Stegostoma tigrinum: one gene and its partner. The protein of the gene in region 1 interacts with the protein of each later gene in a pairwise test. Links are inferred from orthologs where the notes say so. Each region holds a gene or a part of one and is shown in the gene's direction. Other genes may lie near its edges.

Region 1 (7,466 bases):
CAAAAATTATTTTTCTGTATTCTCATTTTGGACTGAAATGGGAAAAAGACTTCTTTAAAATTAAGGACTGTGGAAGAGATTGCTGCATAAAAATTAATCAGCTACTGTAGTCTTCAAATACAGGTTCACACAAATTACTGTCATCTGCCTTCTTGTTGTTGGCACAATGAACTTAAAAGGGGGAACAAAGGCATGGTAGTAACGATATTTGATTAGCCAGAACCCTTGACGAATGTTTTTAATATTATCTCTGTGCTGGAGAAACAGAGAAGGTCTTGCAACGTCTGTGGAGTGAATGCTTCTATTGCTTTAGAGACATGGGATCAACTTCGAGCACAACAGATGGGAAATTGAAAATTGAATCAATAAATCCATAATAATATATTAGTCTCATTAATAAATGCTCATAAACTACATGGTTATTGAACCAGAAGAGTCTTATGTCAATGACCTACAGTGAAGGCAATATGCCATCCTTACCTAGTACGACCTACACATGACTCCAGATCCACAGCAACGTACTTCGCTCTGAAATGATCTAGTTTCTTGAGTAATTTGGGATAAGAAATAAACACTGGCCTTGCTAGTGATACTCATATCCAAAAACCAAATGGAAAAAAAGCTTTGCTACACTTCAAAGGGATAATTAAGTAAATAAAACTGCAATAAGAATTTTGAAGACAGGTTAAAGACCATTGAGTGTTTAAGTAGCTTTTCATCAGACAACACATCATCAGTGGACAATCATTAACATGCAATTGCCAATGACATCTTAACTCTTTCTCTGAACACATCCAACTGTTTCACAAAGACTTGTGCCATTTCTTATAGTGTACAACTTTGCCTTATAAAAGGGCCAACTTCATTTAAACTTTTATTACGTAGTGTTTTAATTACTGATGAGAGTGAACAATTTGCCTCAAATCAGATTCATTTATCTCTTTCACAAACTTTTAAAAACTCCCTGAAAGTACCTGGTTTCTGCCCCTGCACAACACTAAAATGACTTTATTAATCAATCACAGTTGCAAAGGACAGATTACATATTCATGATCACATTGTACAATCCCTCCTCATTCTTCTTGAGCAGTCTACAGCCTTTCATGCTACTGACCACAATCTGGCCTTGCTGGATGGAACGATTATCACTTTTCTAATTATATCTAGGGCACAACCCCCAAATATCTCCGGAATTCTTGAGGATTGAACCTTGGATTTTTGTTTTCTAAATGTAAATTCCTAGATATATTATATCAGAGTTTTTCACACTTTTACCCTCTCACTCACCTTCAGAGCTGACACACATTTCTGTTGAGTTCTCCAAAGTTGTTGCATATGGATTGTTTCCCACCACCGGAAGGAGGCAGTCACTGTGGATATAACCAACCCTTGGTAATGTGAGTGTAGAAATGATCAGATCCACCGTTAGCTGACCAACATTACCCACAGACACAACTGGCTGGAACATCAAAAAGCTCAGTTATTTAAAAGTTACGTGTTCACTGCATTCTGCCACATGACTAACTTGATCTTTTGTGGTTCCACAGAAACAACACACAAGAGTAAGACTTTGGCCATACCTTATTTTAAATGCATTGGAAATTTTTTTTTTTTAAAATGTACATATTCATGTGGTGTTCGCTGCATCTTCCTCCTCATTTTCATCCACCCATAGTAGACTTGATATTGAGAAAGGTTTAGGAATGATTCACATCATGATAATATTCCATAGTCCTGTTTTAGACTAACAAGTTCTAGTTGGGCTGAATAGCAAGTATCCACACTGGCCAGGCTGTCATTGCAAATATCATCTTCCAAGCTCCCTTTGCTCTCCTAAAGTGTTGTCAACTCCCAGATCAGTGGCCATCTTGCCTGCAACTCCAGGTTTGCAACATATTCAAATGGCCTTTACCAAAGTCACAAAACAGAAATTATATACCTGTGACTGTAGTGCCTAATTCTTTCCCATCCTTCTCAAGCAGTCTTCAGCCTCAAACTCATATTTATGGTGCACAAGGAGGCCATTTGGCATCATTGTGTCCTCAAAGATCTGATCCCACTAATCCCATTTCCTAGCTTATGGACCAAAGCTCTGGAAACTATGGCAACACAAGTGAATATCTAAAGAATGAGTTTTGGACTCAAAAACCCTTTCAGATAGTTAGTTCTAGACAACCTTTATTCTATCCACCAATGATTTCTCATACGGTCTCTTGGTTTCATAATCTCCTTTTTAAGTTTCATATTTCTCTAGGGGCTCTTCTGTATTGAACATTCAGTACCTGCTGTAGGCTTCATTTTTTTAAAAATTCTAACCTTTATGAACCTTGACATCTAGGTTTCTCTGATCTTGTTCCCATCTGTTGTCTTTAACATATTTGCCACGTACACTCACTTTCTCCTACATGATTGCCAGTGGTGGGAAGGAATCTTAGCCACAAGTAACTGTGTCCCATGTAAAAGCCTTTCATGCAATTGACCACTTCCCACATCTCTAGCAATACCTTCAGAATCCCTTGAGGATGCACAACTCACCCCAATTTGCCACACACTGATGTCATCCTTTGAGGAGAGGAAGAGGACGAAAACTAGGAGCAACACGTTACATCTGCAAGAAATCAGGTCAAGTAGATCCATGTAGGAGGACAAGGCCAATGTAGGTGCAACCCCAGCATGAGTCTACAGTACAGCGAAGTCCACATCTTCAACAGTTCCCATAAACCGTGCTAAAGGCACACTTTACACAGAATGAAATGACACTGAACTTAGCAGCATGGCAACAGGCCATTTGGCTTAATTGGTTTATACTATTCAGAGGCCTCTCTCAGACCTTGGCCACTCATCTAGCAAGTCAAAGAGTAAACGCCAAGAAGGTATTTCGCCTTGCAAGAGAGTCTAACAGCAGAGGACATGGACTCAGAATAAAAGGGAGCCAATTTAAAACTGACATGAGGAGGAATTTCTTCCTTCACAGGGTTGAGTCTTTGGAACTCCTTGCCACAGAAGGCTATGGGGGTAAGAGTCCTCGTGTATATTTAAGACTGAGATCGATAGATTTGTGACCAGTTGGGGAAAATCAAGGGTTATGGCAAAGAGGCAGGAAAGCGGACTTGAGAAATGCCAGACATAGTAGGAACTGCAGATGCTGGAGAATCCGAGATAACAAGGTGTAGAGCTGGATGAACACAGCAGGCCAAGCATCATCAGAGGAGCAGGAACAGGAAAGCTGACATTTCGGGCCTAGACCCTTTATCAGAAAGAAGACGACCCTTCTTCTGAAGAAGGGTCTCGACCCGAAACGTTAGCTTTCCTGCTCCCCTGAAGCTGCTTGGCCTGCTGTGATCATCCAGGTCTACACCTTGTTATCTCTTGAAAAACGTCAGATCAGCCACGATCCTACTAAACAATGAAGCAGAGATAGTAGGAACTGCAGATGCTGGAGAATCCGAGATAACAAAGTGTGGAGCTGGATGAACACAGCAGGCCAAGCAGCATCAGAGGAGCAGGAAAGCTGACGTTTCAGGCCTAGGACCTTCTTCAGAATGGAGGCGGGGAAGGGCCCGAAATGATGCTGCTTGGCCTGCTGTGTTCACCCAGCTCTACACCTTGAATGGTGAGGCAGGTTCGAGACGCCGAGTGGCCTGCTCCAGTTCCTATTTCTTATAACTGTTCAGTTACCTACCATGACCAGAGTGTAGCCTTTCAGGCTTACGGAGCCATTCCCACTCGGAACGAAAACCGTCTCCATTCCACCACCTGAATTCCTTCAACCGCTAGGCGCTTTCTGATGACGTTCCCTCTTCCCAGACACGGGGTGGGCAATACATTGAGAGCGTCGCAAAATTGCGAGGCATGGGCGCACGAGCGTTGTTTTTCTTAAAATCGCACTTATTATAGGCAGCAACTAGCTACAGCTGTGCTTTGCAACGTTGAGCGATCAAATCCAGTTGTTGCAGATTTTTTTAGCATTGTGCCAGACAGTTGAACGGGCAAGCGCGAGGTGAAATTCCCGCTTCGTTTTCAAGCCTTCAAACTTAGAGCGCGAGCCGTGAGCCGATGAAGGGGCGGGGCTTGAAATATTGTGGGGGCGGGGGGCTTTGTCGTAATCAGTGTGAGGCTGGCCTGGGTGGTTGTCTAGCAGAGTTGGTGAGTGCGGTTACGGGGTTGAAACGCTGTCGGTTTGGTCTTTTGGAAACATGAAGTTGCTGGAAAAGGTCTGGCCGCACCTGTGAACAAAAACATCACAGAATTAACGTGTCGGTTCTCTTTCCGTTTTTATGTGGTGTTTTGGAGGTGTGCGCAGTTCGATGTCCGTCAGTAAGAGGGCGGGGCCTAATGGCCGTTGGTGGGATGGTGCGTTGCTGTGTTTGGGTGGTGGCTGCAGTTGCTACTGGAGATAAGGGCGGGGCTAGATGCTGATTGGAGGGTGGTGATAGGCGGGGCTTGAGGGCTGTTGGGAGGAAGGGGTGGTGTTTGTCGACTGCAGAGACGGTTGGCTGGCGGCGAGTTGTTTTTGTGTTGGGCTGCTGGTTGTGCATGTTGATAAACCCTGGTAAAACGGTCCCTAGCGCTATGTCGCTGCCGCCAGAAAAGGCTTTGGAACTCAAGCAAATCATTCACAATCAGCTGACCCAGGTGAGCTCTCACCGCGTCCAGCCTCGGGCTGGGGCCTTGATGTCGCCCAAGATGCGTGAGGCCGCCGTCCATATCCCAGATTATGTCTAATCAGCTACAACAATAATGGTTAACTTTTTAGCTCTTGACCTCTTTTTACGAGTTGCATTTCATAATAATTTAACCTGTTGAGTTATGATCTTTGAATGAGAGCAAATACTATGGATCTGAAATAATAGGAGAAAACGTGCGAAATCTGTGTAAAGCAAAATGCAGCATCTGTGTAAAGCCAGAAACAGTTCATGTTAACTGTTTACCTCTTTGTAGATTTAATATACAAATCATGAGCAGAAGTAGGCCATTCAGCCCTTCGAGCTGTTCTGCCTGCTCCAATAAGATCATGACTGCCTTGAAAACATTTAAGAACTCTATTCAACTGCCTTTTGATGAACAGAGGATCACAGACTCCTGTCTCTCTTTGAGAAAGCATTTCTACTTATCTTTGTTTTGAATGGATAACCCTGTATTTTTAAATAGTGACTTGTAGATCTAGATTCTCCTTTCCACATACACTTGGAATACCATCCAAAACTATGAGCTAAGTGTTGGAAAGTGGGACTAGAATAGATGGATTAGTGCAGACTCATTGGGCAAAAGGGCCTGTTTCTGTGTTGTAAATCTATGACTGTGACCTGTCAAGAGCCGTCAACATTGCGTATGCTGGCTAAATTTGCTCATGATGCCGCTAGGTAAGAAAGTAAGTTGTGAAGAAGGTATTAGGAGCCTTCAGAGGGATATAGGTTGTGAGTGGGAAATTATCTGATACATGGAACATAGAACAGCACAGCACAGGAATGGCCCTTTGGTCCATAGTGTGCCAAATATGATGCCAAATTAAAGTTATTCCTTTTGCTTGCACTTGTCCATATCTCTCTCCCCCCCCCCCCCATTCCATGCATATTCATGTGCTTATTTAAAATTTCCATAAATGCCCCTATTGTACATGTCTCCACCATCACCTTGGCAGCACGTTCTGGACTCTTACCACACTATTAAAAAGAGAATACAACTTTGCCTCTCGCATCTCCTTTGAACTTTTCCCTGTCACCTTAAATACATGCCCCCTCGTATTAGACATTTCAGTTCTCGGGGGGGGGGGTGTGGAAAGATTCTGACTGTCAACCCTATGTATGCATCTCATCATTTTATAGACTTCTGTCAAGTCTCTGCTCAGCCTTTGCCACTCCAGAGAAAACAGCCCAAGTTTTACTATCCTTTCCTCGTACCCTCTAATCCAGGAAGCATCCGCAAAAATCTCTTGTGCACCCTCTCCAAAGCGTCCACATCCTTCATGTAGTTTGACAACTAGAATTATGGCCTAACCAAAATCTTCTAAAGCTGCAACATGACATCATGACTGTTGCACTCCATTCCCTGATCAACAAAAGCAAGCATGCTTTACAATGCTAGCTCCTTGTGTGGCCATTTTTGGGGAGTTATGGCCTTTAACCCCCCAAGATCCAGTGCTGTTCAGGGTCCTCCCATTAGCTACACTTTTTCCTAACGTTTGATCTTCCAAAAATATAGCATCTGGATTAAACTCCATCTGCCATTTCTCTGACTATATCTCTGCAACTGATCTATATCCCGCTGTATCCTTTGAAAATCTTCTACATTGCCCATAACTCCAGTGATATTTTTTTTTGTATCATCTGTAAACTTACTAACCCATCCATCTACATTTTCGTCCAAGTCATTTATATATATCACAAACAGCAGGCATCCCAGTATGGATCCCTACTGAACACCAACATTCGTGGACCGCTAGCCAGCAAAACACCCTCCCACTGCTACCCTCTTGCCTTCCATGGACAAGCCAGTTCTGAATCTAAGCAGCCAAGTCACTGTGGATCCCATGCATCTTAATCTTCTGGATGAGTCCCATCAGGGACCTTGTCAAAAGCTTTATTAAAATCCATATAGACAATATCTACTGCTCTACCTTATCGATCACCTTTATCAACACCTCGAAAAATTCAATCAAGTTAGTGAGATATGACCTGCTAGGCACAAAGTCGTGCTGACTGTCCCTAACTAGGCCATGCTTTTCCAAATAAATGTAAATCCTAACCCTAAGAATTCTCTCCAATAGCTTCCTATCCACCAATGTGCAACTTACTGGTCTGTGGTTTCCTGGATTATCCTTGTTTCCCTTCTTGAACAGAGGAACAACATTAGTTATTTGTTCTCTGTTCTCACATACAATCTGAGAATTTTTTGGCAGAAAGATAAAGAAGCATGATATCTAAGTAGTGAGAGGTTGCAGAAAGATCCGGGTGTCCTAGTGTGAGAATCACAGGTGGTTAATATGCAGTAACCAGGCAAATAATCAGGAAAGCAGATAACGTGTTTTATTGCAACGGGAATTGTATGTGAGAGTAGAGGAGTTGTGCAGGGTACTGGTGAAACTACATCTGGAGTACTGTGTACAGTACTGATCACTGTAGTTTTGAACTGGTGTTAATGCATTGGAAGCCGTTCATAAAAGGTTTACTGGACCAATACTTGGAATGAGCCAATTCCCTTTGAGGAAAGGACGGACAGGTTCAGCCTGTAACTGGAGTTTAGAAGTATCAAGGTGATTTGAATCTTAAAGGATCTTGACCAGCGGATGTCAAAAACATGTTTTCTCGTGTGAGAATCAGGAACTAGAGGTCACAATTTAAAAGTAAAGAGTCATCCATTTAGGGACAGAGATGAGGGGGGTTGGTTGGAAGAAAAAACAGGGTTGAGAGTCTTTGAAGTTCCATTCCTCAAATGGCAGTCAACAGAATCTTTAAATATTTTCAAAA
Region 2 (7,126 bases), on another chromosome or scaffold:
CGGTCATCTTCGGTGTGAGTGAGTTCCTTTATGGAAGTACATTTGTAATAATAACAGACAACAAAACCCCTGCTAGGCCTAGTTAAAGAGGACAGGGCCATGCTGCCCAAAGCTTTAGGTCAAATTCAGTAGAGGGCTCATATTCAAAATGCTTACAATTATAAGTTGGAACACCGTCCATGAAGCCAAGTGGTAAAAGTGGGTGCTCTCAGCTGTCTCCCTCTCATGGATATACCACCATTAGTCCCTCCACTGGAAGACTCTGTTCTGGTTTTAAACTTTCTGGACAACTTTCTGGCAATAGCAGAACATGGGCATAAAGACATCCTGTCCTAGCCAAACAACTGGTGGTGATGGAGTAACCAAAGGGCCATCACAACCAGGACTGAAACCTTCTTGAACCCACAGAGACTAGATCACCTTCAAGGACAGCATTTTATTATGGCAAGCAAGAGGGACTGACCCCAGCAGAGGTCTCCACCAGATACTGGCTGAAGTCCACTAGGGTCATCCATGGGGTTTCAAAAATGAAGATGCTGGTGAGAAGTTATTTCTGGTGGCCAGGATTGGATGCAGACATAGTCGTGTTGGTGGGGCAGTATCCAGAGTGCCAACAAGAACAAAAATTACCTCTAGTAGCTCCCCAACATTCGTGGAAATGGCCGGGTAAATGCTGGACTCGGTTACACATTGACTATGCCAATCCTTTCATGGGTTCTATGCTCTTAGTCATTGCGGATGCCCATTCAAAGTGGTTGAACATGCATAGAGTTCATTCATTAAACGCCGGGATTTGAAATGCTGCAAGCACCTTTTGCAATACACAGACTCCCAGATGTATTGGTCGCAGACAATGGGCCATCATTTACCAGCAGAGAGTTTGAGTATTTCTTAAAGTTGGATGGCATTAGGCATGTAAGGACAACTCCATGCAATGACCTGGCACAAAAAGCTGTCCAAACTTTGAATACAGGCTTGAAGAAATAGCCTGCAGCTTCAAACTATCCTGGTTCCTGTTTGATTATAGGTCCACCCCTCATGCAGCTACAGGGATAGCTCCAGCAGAGTTGCTAATGGGGAGAAGACTCTGCATCAGGTTAAATGTGATCTTCCTGGACCTGGGTTGAAGGGTGAACAGCATCAGGAATGCCAATGCTGGACACAAGACTCCTCTAAGCGAGAGAGACAGTTTATCTCAGGGGACAATGTTTGGTGCCAAAGCCACTAGAATGGCCCTGCAAGTGTAAGACGCATGGTCGATGTAACCTTAGGTCCCGTGACATACAAAGTTCAAGGAGGTGAGGCGATCCTGAGCAAGCAGGTGGACCCTAATGAAAGCTGCAGCCTTGCAAACAGGGAAGAAGCAAAACCTACCCAGCCCCTCAGAAATTCAGCAAGGCTGTTGGAGCTCTTAGGTTCTGTCCCCCGCCTCCGCCTAGCACCAAAGAAAACTCTGAGGATGAAATAGGCACAGCAGATGCCACAGCCTTAGCAACACTACCACCTGAAGAGGACTAATTGCTTCTGAAATGGTCTGGGCACAAGAGGTGGGCCACAGTCCAGTACGCAACACCCGTGTCTGAGGCAGAGTCGGAAGAACTGAACCTGGTGTGAAAACACCCGGGAGAAGCTACAAGAAAAAGAATGGGCCTACATCTCAGGGCTTAGAGAGGGGAGGAATGTAGTAACTAGATCAGGGTCAGCCAGGTGGACCTCATAGAATATGAGTTCCCTGATTGGGGCAGTTAACCAGGTCCAATCAGGGAGCCTTGGCTGACAGATATAAACAGGGGTATCAGGGGTTCTCTTCACCCTTGTGGTCAGCTCTGTGCTAGCTGGTTTAGTGTCATGTACTGTGCATGTGTAAATAAAGGGTGACTTGGTGATGGGACACCAGCCTCTGGAGTTATTTCACAGCAAGGTGAGACTTGGATTTTAAAATCTACTGGATTGTGGGGACAGGGAGAGCTGAGGAAAGAAAGAGAATCGATTGGTTAGAAATCCAGCAGAAAAAAAACAAATTTGAGGGAATGACTCCTGATACAATCAAAATGCAAGGACTGAAAGTGATATTTGAGACACAGCATTTAACATTGGGAACAATAACCACCAAAATGTCACCTTCAGAATTGTATCGAATACTTAGTCATTTACTTAAAATACAAAGCTTGTTTTCTGCCTTGACTTTCAGCTTTCACAGTGAAGGAGACATGATAGAAATTAAGGAGAAGGAAGATCTGGTAACAAGCTAATATCATAAGGTAAGTGCAATGTTGTGCTCTGTTTGCACTGTACCACTCAAAACCTACTTCACACACCACACATTCATATTTGGTAGGGTTCTCTTTTACCACCACAGTCTTGTTTATTGAATTTGTTTGCAATAATGTTTGCAGTAATGTAATGATCTTTAAGGGGAAACGTTAGAGTGAATCTATGGATGCTATGTTCACCACAGTGCAGCCTGTGTGTCACGCTCAGGAACACACTGAAATATTTTATTAGTGGTTATGAAAGCTGGATGATCCTGATATATAACACCAAATAGAGGTTTGTCCTGACGATGGAAGAGGGAAATGTGATGTGACATCAAGACAAAGAAAGCCATCTTGCTGTGGTTCTTTCCAAACCAAGTTACTGTAAAATGATTAGTAAGGATGGATTCATGTTGGTATCACCCTGGTTTCTGAGTCGAAATATTTGGGTTCAAATGTAGTGCATGAGCACAAAACCTAGGCTTGCCATACTGATGGAGAGCTAAACTGCCAGCACCGTATTCTTTTAAATCATGTCTACCTGGCTCTTGGGTGAATGTAAGATGTTCCATGACACCACTTCATAGAAAAGTGGGAGAGCTCACCATCCACGTTCCTTACCAATATCAATCCCTGAGCCAACTCTCAAATAGAGAGGATTTAATCATCACCATGACAATCTGTGGGGGTTTGCGGTGAGCAAATAGGCTTACTCATTTCTGACAGTAGCTATATTTCATCAAGGAGTTAATTGGCTGGAACACTCTTTGAGACAATCAGAAGTCTCATCTTTCTCTTAACACCAGCAGATTGTCAAATTATAGAATCCCTACAGTGTGGAAGGAGGCCATTTGGCCCATCATGTCCACACCAACCCTCCAAAGAGCATCCCACCCATTCCCATCCTCTATTCTATCCCTGTAATTCCCATGGTTAATCCACTCAGCCTGTACATCTCTGGTCACTAGGGGCAATTTAGTATGGCCAACCCAGCTAACCGGTGCAACTTTTGACTGTAGGAAGAAACCCACGCAGACTTAGGGAGAATGTGCAAACTGCACATTTACATTTGCCTGATGGTGGAGTCGAATCTAGAGTCCCTAGTGCTGTGCTGCAGCATTTCTAACCAGTGAACCACTGTGCCATCTAAATGATGATAACCTGAGAATTTAATATATGCCCAATGCAAAGGCTCCTCTATTGACAAACAACATTGCCCAATGTTATACTGAGTTCCACAGAACAGACTGCTCTGCTCAATCTACAATGAGGTAGCTGACCTGAACCTTAGGTGGTATAGAGAGGAACCGGAATAAATTTTCAACTTATCACCAAAGTCTAAGAATTGGCGCTGCTGGCCAGCTGTACGCTGTGGAGGTATTTCAGTGATCACCAGTTTTGGCTTCAGATTTAACGATGGGCAGCTGACCCAGAATGCCCATATAGCAAATTGGTAAACAATCCCACTGTATTTGATCTCTATGTTGTTGGGCACAGCGTTGGGTTCAGTAACTCGTTGTTGAAGAGTTGGACTCAAGCTGTAGGTGCTGTGTAATAAGTTGCTGGGTCAAATGGTTAATGCTAAAGTTATTTTTACTGAAATGATGTGCTTGCAGTATTCTTCATGCTTTCCTCTGTTAACTATAGATCATGACATTGTTGCGAACACAATAAACTCTTGATGAATCCCCTCCCCTGCTGCTGAGCTAGGGGTTTGATGAATGCAGGTCTCTGCAATTGACTCTGCTTAAAGTGTGAGCTATAAAAACCCTGAGAGGGAGCGACTTGGTATCAGAGCTGTGCATTCCAGTCTACAAAGGTGAGTGTTGCCATGTTTGAGAAAATACACTGTAATTGGTGTACAGTATATGGATCCACTGTAGGAGGACCATAACCAAAAATACTGGAACAAAATAGTTGAAAGAGAGAAGGTGAGTCTGGTTAAATAACATTTGTGGCTCTGAAGAAAAGATTTTTGAGTTCATCAATAAATCTTAACATTGCGTAGAACCTCGGCTCCACAGTTGAAGTTCAGTGACCAGTTTTGGTGTCTGTAGTGCAGAAAACTGTACAATGTGCATAAAAATTATTTGTGCAGGGTGCTAACAGGGGATACAGTTATCTGGTAAAAAAAACAACTGAACAGGCTCTTCTCTCCAGAAATGAGAAAGCTAGAGGGATAATCACGTAGAAGTCATTAACATGCAGTTTAGGGATTGATGGAGTAGATGTGTAGAAGATGTTTCCATTTGTGGGTAAGTTCAAAACTGGGAGGGGGTGTCGTGAAATCTAACACAGTCACTAATAAAACACAGACATGCCAGAAAAGCTTGTGTAGGCAGAGTGTGGCTAGGTTGTGGAAATTATCATGGCGGGGAGTAGCTCAGATGAGTATTTGGATGTATTTAAGGGGAGGTTCAATTATTAATGCATTTGTTACATTCAGGGAGTCCACGTTGCTGTGGCAACAGGCACTTTTACACACATGTTGTTGCCTGGAGCTACGGATAGTGATAGCAGACAGTCCAACTTTCTCCTGATCACTCGGTTGACCAGGAACGTCTCCTGCTCTTCCTGCCTATCCCTGGCCTGCGCTGTCAGGATTTATGTTTTGGTGGGTATTGATTCTCAACTTACATACTCAACATACACTGCTGTGTTATGAAGAGATCAAGTGCTGGGTGACCCTCAAACCCAGAGGCAGGAACACTATTCACTGCTCCATAAAACCATTTAGCTAGTAAGAACCTACATGTGAGAAAAGGAATAGAGATAGAGTGGGAGGAAGATTGTGTGGAATATGAACTTTGGCATGAACTTGTTGGGTCTAATGGACTGTTTCTGTGCTGTGGACCCTGTGTAATTTTACTTTCCTTTGATGTTGGGGCAGAGTGTTCAGTAACAAGACCTTTCAGTGTAATTTAGCAGAAGAAACAGGAGCAGGAGTAGGCCATTCAGCCCCTCAACCTGCTCTCCCATTCTTGATCTGCCCCTTGTTTCAACTCCTGATAGCCCTCAATGTGTGAAAAACCCTGGGTTTTGAGTTCAGTGAGCAGAGACCAGGGAGAGTGCCCTGTTTGTGGTGGGAGGGATCTAGGGATAGTGTAACTCTTGGTTCCCATTCCCAGATTAGTGCAGCAAGTCCAAAGGAGACTCACTATCAGGTGAGCAGGAGCTGGGATCTGGGAATGCCGTGTAGTTGGACACTAAAGTAACTGGTCATTAGAGTCCAGCAGGGTAGAATGGTTGTGGTCTCTCCCCTAGGCTCCATACCTTCATCCTCATTCTCCAAGGTGAAGATGGATGTGGCTCTGCCCACAGACTGTCTCCTTTGTCCCTAATGGGCCCTATTCTTTCTCTTTTGTTTTGGAAATTAATGAATCTGCTGCCACCACTGCCCACTCAGGCATTCCAGGACAGAATGACTGCTCACCCCTCACACAGGATAGTACTGTCCCTACAGTCAGCTTATGGTGTACCTTCTATCCCGAGGACAAGGCAATGTCAAACCACTTCAATGCTTTGCCCAGAGTGTGGTCTGACCAATGGGAATCCATGGCAAAGATAGATAGTTCTTGAGGATAGGGTATGGTTGCATTGGCACAGGTGCCCAAGGAGGGCAAGCTTCACATGTGGCACATATGGATTCCTGCAATGAGTGGTATGCAATCTGCCAGCGAGAGTATTATTGAAGAATGTGCACTGTCATCATTTGATGGTCACAACTAGACTTTAACCAGGAATGGCAATCAGTGAAATCCTGGCTGACTTCCTGTCACTTCCCTTAAGCTCCAGGAGTCAATTATTAGGCACTACTTTGAACTCAGTCTAAAACCTGCCACTTCAACAGAGACCATGAGCTTCAGACTTTCCCGTTGTAGAAAGAATCATAAAGTCATAGATCACAGAAGAGACCCTTTGGCCCATTCAGTCTGTGCCAAACTATCTACACTATTCCCACTTACCAACACATGACTCACGGCCTTGAATGTTGTGACATTTCAAGTGCTCACCTGTGTACTTTTTTAAAGGGTGTGAGATTTCCTGTGTCAACTCCCTTCCCAGGCAGTGCATTCCAGATTCCCACCATCCTCTAGTTGAAAAAACAATTTCCCCAATCCCCTCTAAACTGCCTGTCCTTCACCTTAACATTATGGCCCCTTGTTACTGATTCTTCAACTAAGGGGAGCAGCTGTATCCTATCCACCCTGTACATGGCCCTCATGATCTTACCCCACCACCCCCCTACCCAAAATCAGGTCCCCACTCAGCCTTCTTTGCTCTGAAGAAAACAACCTGAGTTTAACCAGCCTCTCTCCATAAATTGTTCCATCTCAGGCAACACCCTGGTGAATCTCCTCCACACCCATTCCATTGCAATCACATCCTTCCTGTACTGTGGTGACCAGGACCTCACACAGTGCTCCAGCTGGGACCTATCCAAAGTTTTGTATAGTCCCATACAGCTCACATACGAACACACGGTTCCCACACAGACCCTGGTCAGAACAAAGCAGCCTTGATGACCAGCCAAAATGCCCAGCAATGTAGACTGGCAGCTGAAACTTGCTGCCCAGGCAACCACATGAAAAATGTCCACTGAGTGTGGTACCAGAAGACTAGAGGTGCCAGCTAGAGGGCTGTGTTTAGTTCTTGGCATCACATTACTAGAAGGATATGATTGAACCGGAGGGAGTGAAGAGGAGAACCACCACGATGCTGACGGGGGTGGAAAATTTAAGTGACGCGGAACGGTTGGACAGGCTTAGGTTATTTTCATTGTAGCAGAGAAGACTGAAGGGGGTGATCTGACTGAGGTGTGCCAAATTATGGGGGACATGGACAGAATGGGTAAGGAGCAGCTGTTCCCT

Evidence for each region. The genes of interacting proteins can lie anywhere in the genome.
Region 2: the proteins of cep76 (region 1) and cryba4 interact in binary tests that used the Homo sapiens proteins (3 or more experiments, as listed by UniProt). The two-hybrid records come from large-scale screens. The link is inferred for Stegostoma tigrinum from reciprocal best matches to the Homo sapiens genes CEP76 and CRYBA4.

What each region holds. Positions count from the first base shown.
Region 1 is NC_081358.1:117,632,313-117,639,778, reverse strand, and holds the start of cep76 (centrosomal protein of 76 kDa), read left to right. Parts: upstream 1-4,465; 5' UTR 4,466-4,536; coding exon 4,537-4,635; intron 4,636-7,466. Other genes in the region: psmg2 (proteasome assembly chaperone 2), read right to left, coding at 1,288-1,459, 3,683-3,748. UniProt on the Homo sapiens protein: Centrosomal protein involved in regulation of centriole duplication. Required to limit centriole duplication to once per cell cycle by preventing centriole reduplication.
Region 2 is NC_081379.1:11,243,317-11,250,442, forward strand, and holds the start of cryba4 (beta-crystallin A4), read left to right. Parts: upstream 1-4,033; 5' UTR 4,034-4,074; exon of another isoform or gene 4,075-4,186; intron 4,187-7,126. UniProt on the Homo sapiens protein: Crystallins are the dominant structural components of the vertebrate eye lens.